Linked DNA regions of Ovis aries. The protein of the gene in region 2 interacts with the protein of the main gene of each other region in a pairwise test. Links are inferred from orthologs where the notes say so. Each region holds a gene or a part of one and is shown on either strand. Other genes may lie near its edges.

Evidence for each region.
Region 1: the proteins of ZNF385C (region 2) and BOLL interact in a two-hybrid assay, tested with the Homo sapiens proteins (2 studies listed by BioGRID). The two-hybrid records come from large-scale screens. The link is inferred for Ovis aries from reciprocal best matches to the Homo sapiens genes ZNF385C and BOLL.

The regions. Positions count from the first base shown.
Region 1 is NC_056055.1:200,041,803-200,046,028, reverse strand, and holds the start of BOLL (protein boule-like), read left to right. Parts: upstream 1-1,426; 5' UTR 1,427-1,560; coding exon 1,561-1,581; intron 1,582-4,226. UniProt on the Homo sapiens protein: Probable RNA-binding protein, which may be required during spermatogenesis. May act by binding to the 3'-UTR of mRNAs and regulating their translation.
Region 2 is NC_056064.1:41,946,880-41,951,158, reverse strand, and holds the start of ZNF385C (zinc finger protein 385C), read left to right. Parts: upstream 1-1,479; 5' UTR 1,480-1,613; coding exon 1,614-1,647; intron 1,648-4,279.

The DNA of each region.
Region 1 (4,226 bases), on a different chromosome or scaffold from region 2:
TTTGCCAACAAAAGTCTGTCTAGTCAAGGCTATGGTTTTCCCAGTGTTCGTGTATGGATGTGAGAGTGTGAAGAAAGCTGAGCGCCGAAGTATTGGTGCTTTTGAACTGTGGTGTTGGAGAAGACTTGAGAATCCCTTGGACTGCAAGGAGATCCAACCAGTCCATTCTAAAGGAGATCAGCCCTGGGATTTCTTTGGAAGGAATGATGCTGAAGCTGAAACTCCAATACTTTGGCCACCTCATGCGAAGAGTTGACTCATTGGAAAAGACTCTGATGCTGAGAGGGATTGGGGGCAGGAGGAGAAGGGGACGACAGAGGATGAGATGGCTGGATGGCATCACGGACTCGATGGATGTGAGTCTGAGTGAACTCTGGGAGTTGGTGATCGGCAGGGAGGCCTGGCGTGCTGCGATTCATGGGGTCGCAGTCGGTCACGACTGAGCGACTGAACTGAACTGAACTGAATCATAGTGCCATAATCACCATAATCATTACAGAAGTTTACCGAGTTGTGATTGTTTAAAATTGGTTATATATGTTTATATACATAAGTAAAGTGTGTGAAGTTGATGACATATGTATTGATGCATAAATGGCAGCTACTTTTCAGAAGGACTTTTTACAAAGCAGACTTCTTTCAAAGGAAATAGAGCCAATCCAGCCAAGTGGCACAGTCCTCACCCCTGGAAGCTCGCAGGTAGATCCATCGCTGACCCGCTGTGCGGCGGGCCGGCTGTGTTCAGCGGGCGGGCTGTGTTCAGCGGGCGCGGGCCTAAGGCGGACGCCGGAGCTCGGACGGGGCGGCGCGGCGGTTCCCTGCCAAGCGGCCCACGCCGCCCCGCCCGCTCGGCTGGGATGAGTGACGGCGACAACAGGTGCGCCGAGGCGTCTGTGGCTTCTCCGGAGCCCCCGAGTTTGGCGCGTCAGGCCCCGGGGGTCAGGCTTTAACTCTGCAAACTGGCCTCCTCTCCCCGCACCAGCCTTACGAAGTCGCCCGTCAACCGGCTTCTTGCACCTTAGTAAAGCAGCCTCTAAACGCACCGCCACCTCTCGAAAACCCACCAGTCCTAGAAGCCAACTTTTCTCCAAAGGGGAGGAGAGGAAAAGGCGTGTGGTGCATGGAGCTCTGCCTAGCCGTTCGCTGTCTCTTCCCCAGCCGTCCGAAAGCAGACGAGAGTGGCTTGAGAATAGAGCCCTCGATCCGCACACCTCACGCCCGCCCCGACCTGCTGCACGCTCTGCCCTTGAGACGGCCCAGCTCGGCGACCACGGGCCACCGCCGAAACCTGCCCGCCCGCGCCCCTCCCGGGCTTGCGGCGCCCGCCCGCACTGCCACCCGCCGCCCGAGGCTACGTCGTCTGCCCCTCCCTATCCCCGCCGGTGGCAGGTTCAGGCCCCGGGTTCGAGTCTGCGCCCTTGCAGCTGCCACCGCCGCCGTCGCCGCCAGGGGGAGAAAGTCTCCGTCGGGAAGCGTGGTGTTGCTTCCCGGGTGTGAAGGTGCTTTCGAACTGTAGGTTTCTGCGCCTTTCCCCCTGGCTTTTGAAGAGCAGAGAGGAAGATGGAGACCGAGTCCGGGGCGGTGAGTACGGCGGTCAGGGCCCAGAGTCCTGGGCCTCGGGCTAGCGGGGAGAAGGAGCAACGTGGACTCGGTCTGTGAGGGGCTGGAAGGACGAGTCTAGAGCTCGCTATTTTGTCAGCAAGAACCGTGGACAGGGCGCCCCATCGACCGCCATGAATAGCGGCCTGCCTGCAGGCCCGGTCGGGTTGTGTAGTGGGGTCAGGCAGGTGCGATGCCGGGCCTGGACTGGTGTAGACCTGCTGGGAGGTTCCGGGAAGTGTGGGTAACCGGGTCCTGTGCACCAGGCTGGGTTCAGGCTAGAGAACCAGCTTTCCCGCCGAAAGTAGGTTCGGCTGCGTCTTTGACGCTCACTCCAGCCACACTCAGCCTAGCCACCCTCATGAGGAGTTGACCAGGTGGCCATCCCCTCCACTTCCCTACCGGTCAGCGGAAACCAGAAGTCCTGAGAGACCTGGTGGGGGGGCGAGTGTGGGTTATATGGGGCACCTGGGCACAGGTTGGACCTGGACACTCGCGCCCAAGCCAGTCTGGGCCGGGTGGGGGAGGGGTGGGAGACCGAGTAGGCCCGAAGGGCTGTGGCAACGTGCCGTCGCGCCCCACCCCGTGCCCGCCGGCAGCCAATCAGCGAGTGCCACGCGATGCGCGCGGGGCCCTGCTACGCACGAGGCCGGCGTCTGGGTCTGTGCCGTTGAGGATTCCCGCCACTGCTTCTGGCGGGTTTGCGGGACAAAATTTCTCGCTGGCTAGCCTTCTTTTCCCTCCCGCACTTTGGTGGGGAGGGGGTGGATCCTCGAATCGGTGGTCCAGTTCACGATGACTTGAGAGAAACTGAGGAAGTTGTTGCTGCGGCCATTTCCTCCAGCACTTCAGCTTGCTGGCCTCGGAGGGGAAGGAGCGCCGAGTCCTTGACTGCGACGGTTAGCCCGTCTTTTTCCTCTTCTCTTCATTGGCAGAGTAGATGATAAATTTCGAGGTTAATTCTCCAGGGGAGGAGGCAGTGGGGGCACATTACTTTGGAGGAAATTTTAAATAAACTTTTTAGTACTAGAAGTTTTACTAAGCTAAGGACCCTTACTGCTTGCCCCAAAACAGCACCTGGCTAGGTGCTTTTCATACATTTGCAAAATTTTGCTGGCAGAATTTGAGGCATTCTGAATTAACTCAATAAATCGCTAACTGTCTCTAAGGAACTTAAAGATTGCCTCTACCTGAGCTTTGTTACTTCCAAGATTAAAATATTTTCTAGGGTTTTATTCATGTTGTAGTCTTCAGCCCACAACCTAAGGGTTGGTGAATCGTGAGCAAGAGGAAATTATTTATTCTTCATTCAACAAATGTTTATTGAACACCTGCTATATATGGTCTTAGATACTGCGGTGAACAAAACAAGCAAAGTCCTTTTTTTGAACATTACAATATAGTGGAAAGAGATGACAAACGTAGTATAAATTACATAGTGTGTTGGAAAGTGATTAGTGGTAAAGGGAAAAAATAGTTGGAACCCACAATAGAATAGGAACGTTAAAAATTGAACAATGATGTGAATAGCATGTACAAAGTTCGTGTTTTTCCTTCCTCCGTGTTGAGGATTTCTTAAGATTGGAAATAAAGCACTTTGTTCTCTTCCATTCATGTCATTTTTCTCTCATAAAAATAAAACCAGTGGAGTTTTATTTAAATAAATTTGAAAGCAAAAGAGTTCATCCATTGAATTATTTTGTTTTAAAGAAGAGAATTTCATGAATTTTTTTTAAATTTTGCAGATAAGTAATTTTTGCATTCTCTAAACAAATAGGCAGATAGAGTAGATTGTTTCTGCCAGAGCTGTTCAGTTATCTTTAGCAATACAAATCCACAATTGAAAAGTAAAACAAAACATCCCAGAATCATCCAGTCTGGCACTATGTCTTACAGGTGACTGAAGTTATAAATTAACTTTCAAATGCCCTGAGAGGATGCTATTAAGATTGGTTTCCCAGTTTTAACTGGCAGCTACAACAGAGCAATTATTAAATATGATGACTTTGTGGTTTAAAAGATATTTTTATGAACTCCCTTACTAGGGAGCGTTTTTCCTTCTTAAGACTAGATGGACAATAGACCCCAAAAGCCTATAGCCTGGTAGTCACCACTGGCCTAGATATTTCTCTGTACATCTTGCAGAGATTAATTTTTAGGGATTATGGCTTATTGGCTAGTAAAGTGAAAGGAGAGCAGTGTGAAAAAGAACAACTCCATTATCTAAGTGGGAAATTCATTTTCATGAGTTTGTTTTTCAGAGAATTTAAGTCGTGAACTTCAAGCTTTTTGAAGCACTCTTCGAGTGTCTCAGAAGTCTCTTTAGTGTTCTTATAAGGAAAATAGGAAGTTGTTATATTTGTTTCTCTTTAAAATTCTATTCCCAAGTCTTGTTTTTTTTCCAGTGTACCTTAAGAGTCTATCTACTATTTTGTTATTGTGCAAAGGCATATATGTTAGTTGTTATTGTTTTTATAGTTGCTAAGTCATGTCCAACGGTTTGCAACCTCATGGACTGTGGACCACCAAGCTCTCCTGTCCGTGGTATTTTTCAGGCAAGAATACTGGCATGGGTTGCCATTTTCTTCTCCATTACTTGTTAATACGTATTTATTAACATCTGAATT
Region 2 (4,279 bases):
TTCAAAGTGGACACTTTAATGTGGCTTGACTCTTGGAGTGGGAATGAATTCATGCATTCATTCCACAACCCTTTATAGAGCATTTATAGAGCTTAGCACTGGTGCTTCCGATACCTGGAAAATAAAAGCCCTTTCCCCACGGGGGAGACAGGTAAGTGTCTAGGCAAAAGCATTGCATCTTGGGAGATATGCTTAAAGGGAAAATAACCAGGGCCTAGGATAAAGATAATAATAACCTGGCTGGGGAAAGGGGGTCCTGGGGAGGTGATAGTGGAGTTGAGGCCTGAGTGGCAAGGAAAAGGCCTTGTGAAGATCAGGGGAGAGTTCCAGGCAGAGGGAACAGCAGAGACCTCAAGACAGGAGTGAGTTGGTAGACGTGAGAACCAGGAAGCAGTGCCAGGAGCTAGCAAGTGAGACATCACCAGGGCTCCCCATGGCAAGACCTCCTCCCTGGAAGGCCTGTTTCACACGAAGGCTGGCCGGAGCATGAGGTGGGAAGAAGGGCACTGGTCCATATTCTTTAATACAAGAGCCATTCCTATCGCCTTTCTTTGAGACTCTCCAGTAATGGAATGATGGCAGGTTCTGTTAGGAGGTTATGCCATCAGCCCCTGCCTCCTGCCCTCCTCTGCTTGGCTTCATTCTCCTGTCTCATACCCCAATGTGGGCCAGAGCCAGTGCACTGATTCCCTGGGAAGAATCAGAAATGATCCCCAGCCACATACACCAATGATGTTTCCCCAACAGGCCCACTGATTTAATCCCCTGACCTGTGGACAACCCATTTGCTCCTGACTTCATGTGTGACTTTGAGCCAGTTACTTAACATCCCCAATCTTTCATCTCCTGATCTGTAAAATGAGGATCAAACCAGTCTGGGGCAAGTTGTTATGAGGATTGAGTGCCATCCCTCTTGGCACTCAGGAGATACTCCATGAATGTCAGCTTCCTTATTCTCCCTGAGCTTCCCCCACAAAGAGGGGCTGGTTTACAAAAGGGTAGGGAAGGGTTCCCAGGTGGTGCTAGTGGTAAAGAACACGCTTGCCAAAGCAGGAGACACCGGTTTGATCCCTGGGTCAGGAAGAGCCCCCTGGAGGGCATGGCAACCCACTCCAGTATTCTTGCTTGGAAAATTCCATGAACAGAGGAGCCTGGTGGGTTACAGTCCATAGGGTGGCAAAGAAGCGACTTAGCATGCACAGGCAGGGAAGGTCACAGCAGGCCAGTGCGGGGTGGCCAGTTTGGGGTTCCCTCCCCCCAACTCTGGGACCCTTTGGAAGGTGAGGGGCACTCAGGACTGGCCAGCCAAGGGTAGGGAGGCTACTCACCGATGGGTCCAGCCCTGCCGCCAGAAGAGCCCCTGCGTCTCCCCTGTGTGCTGCCCGGGGAGCCCCAGGGCCAGGCCACTTTCCCGACCCGCTCTTCTGCGCTCCGCTCCGGGCGGCGCGGCTCCTGGCACCTGCTCCCCGTGGGCCGCCCAGGGGCGGGCTCCGGGGACGCGGCGGCTGCCCCGAGACGCGCGGGCCCGGGACTCATCCGCCGCGCACCTCCGGGAGCCAGGAGCCGGGAGCCGCCGAGAATCCGGACCGCCCCTGGCGGCGGCGGACGACTGGATGCGGCCCCGCTCGGGTCGGAAGCGCCCTTCAGGTAGGCGCGGGCGCGGGCCGTGGGACCGCACTCCCGGCTCCCCATCCCGGACCGACGCGCCGCTGGGACTGAGCACCCAAGGGGGCCCGCGCGGGGTGGGGGTGTAGGTGGCTCCGTAGGGCTGGTGGCAGCAGCGAGGACCCTACCCTGCCTTGTGTTTTGGGAAGGTGGGCGACAAGAATCACGAGGCCGAGAGGGGGGACAAGGGTGATGGCCAGAACTTTTAGCTCCCAGGAAGTAGGGGAAGGGAGGCTGGCGACCATAGGCCAGGGACAGCGAGACTCATCCCGAGAAGGGACAATTCTCCGCAGACAGGGGGATCGACCACAGAACCTACCTTTTTTGTCTAAGTTCTTTAGAGACTCCAAAAATCAACTCCCACCCCATCAGCCCCTGAGATAGAACAGAAAGGAAGGGGTGGGGGATGGGAGACCTATTGTCTTTTGGGGGTGGGTGCAGAGAGTACACTCATCCCCCCCACTCCGTCACCCCCATCTCCACTATTCACAGTCATTGGAGGCCGCCTCGCCTGCCCCTCCTCCTTCAAGCAGAATGCCTCCTCTTCTGTCAGGGTCAGAGGTAGAGGCTGGCCCTCCTGGCCTTTGTGGGAGGCAGGATTCCGCCTCACCCGCCCCTCCCCACCCACCCCCACCCGCGCCGACAAATCTCAAACAGCCCCGGACCTCTCAGCCCTCCTCCCTCTGGCTCTCTCTCTCTCTCTCTCTGACTCATTCTCTCAGCCCCATCTTGGAAGTGCTGACCCTGGGGCCATCACGATGGGGAGCCTTGTTTGGGGGAGCTAGTGTTCAGGCTTTTGGGGAGTTGGGCCGGGAGAGCAAGCAGTGGATGAGGCTGAACTGTGCCAGGGTCCTGGGCAGGGGCTTTGGTGCGGGTTGGGGGGCTCTCCTGTACAAATCAGGTTCCTAGGCCTTGCCTGGAAGCAGAGGTCAGAAGAGGGGACACTGAGGCTAATCCCCCCGCCCCCACCTTAGAGGCAGCTGTTCTGTGTTACCACTGTGGGCCCTTCGAGGAGGGATGCAGCTGAGATAACAAGAAAGACTTCCTTCCGGAGGGTGGCCAGAGGATCTTTCAGGGGAGAATCAGTGTCCAGGAGAGGCAGCCCTTATCTCTAGGGTGTTCAGAGGAAGAAGGCCCTCTGGGACTCCCAGCCAATAGGGGGTGAGGATAGCCTGGGGGGATGGTGACCTCACCTCTGGACCATTGCTCTTGTCACCTCTCATGCCCTCTCTCTTGCTTCCTTGGAGCCAGAGTGTTGACTTTCAGCACCACTTAGCCAGCTCACTCCTGAAAACCCCAGCACCCAGCCGTCCCCAGGGAAAGGTGACAGGCTTCATCTCTCATCACTTCGGATGGGACAACAGACATGACTGCCTTGGTTTGTCCAGTGGATCCCTCCCACCCCCACCCACAGCAGCCCAGCCTCAGGGCCTCCTGCCTGGCAAAGTGGGGACGTGTGAGCTGGGGGTGGGAATGGCTGCCCCCAGTCGGGCCATCCCACTCCTCTAGGTGGGAGTCTCTGACTCCTTTGGGGAGTCTTGGGTATGACCATGGGTGACCCCAGCTCTCTGGGCCATCCCCTGGGGGTGCCGCTCTGTGGGGGCTGCACAGTGAACACCCTGCAAGGTGTCAGCCTTGGGAGAGCAGAGTGCTTGGTGGTGGCTCCTTGGGGGCCTGTGGGGGGCAGCCAGGCCCAGGAGGGCTCACACTCCACAGGACAAGAACAGATGAGGCCTCTCTTCTTCCAGACACGGCCCCATACTCCCGCCTGTGACCCTGGGAGTGATGGGATGGGGGCTGCCAGGCTGTGTACCCCTTCCCCCTGCATCATAGGATGAGGCCTGTCGTTTCGATTGTGAGCCTCAGTTTCCTCATCTGTAGAGCCTCACAGGGTTGCTCTGAGGGTTAACAGAGGTGATGTCTGTCCAGTGCCCGGAAGGCAATGGGCACTCGCCACAGGGCAGTTCTTTCTCTGTCCCCACCCCACCTTCCTCTGGCTGCTGAAACAGACAAATACAGCTTGGCGTCCCCCCTCCACCCCAACCTTAGAGGCAGCTGCTCCCCGTGGCCACTACAGCACCGCCTGCAAGGGACCTAAGAGATTAGCCCAGCCCAATCCGCTCTCCTTGAAGACAGGGAACTGAAGCCCAGAAGGGCAGGGCTGGCCCGACTTTGGCCAGCCAGCCAGGCTCCCTTCTCAGAGGCAGCGCAGGGGACCTGGCTCGGGGATGCGAAGGGTAGATATTGGCAGACCTGGGGGAAAATACCAAAGTGTAACTGGGCTCATTAAGGATTAGGTGAGGGAGCCCTTCATGCCCTGCCAAAGGCTGGGGACAGGCCTGGAACCCTCCTCTTCTGTTAACCCTTTGCAAAGACAGGTCTTCCCCAAGAACCCCCTTCCCCAGGATGCAACCACTTCCCGCTCTGCACTTGCGGCCTCCGAAGAATTTCTCTCTAGCCATATTTGGGTAGTGCAGTGCCCAAGGATGCCACTGACACCTGGGGCCCCGAAGTCCACTGACACTCAGCAAGAAGGGGTGGAAACGGGCTCTGGAGCCATATCTGAGTGCTCCCTTCCCCCAAGCCCCCTCTACCTCCGTGAGGACAGACACAT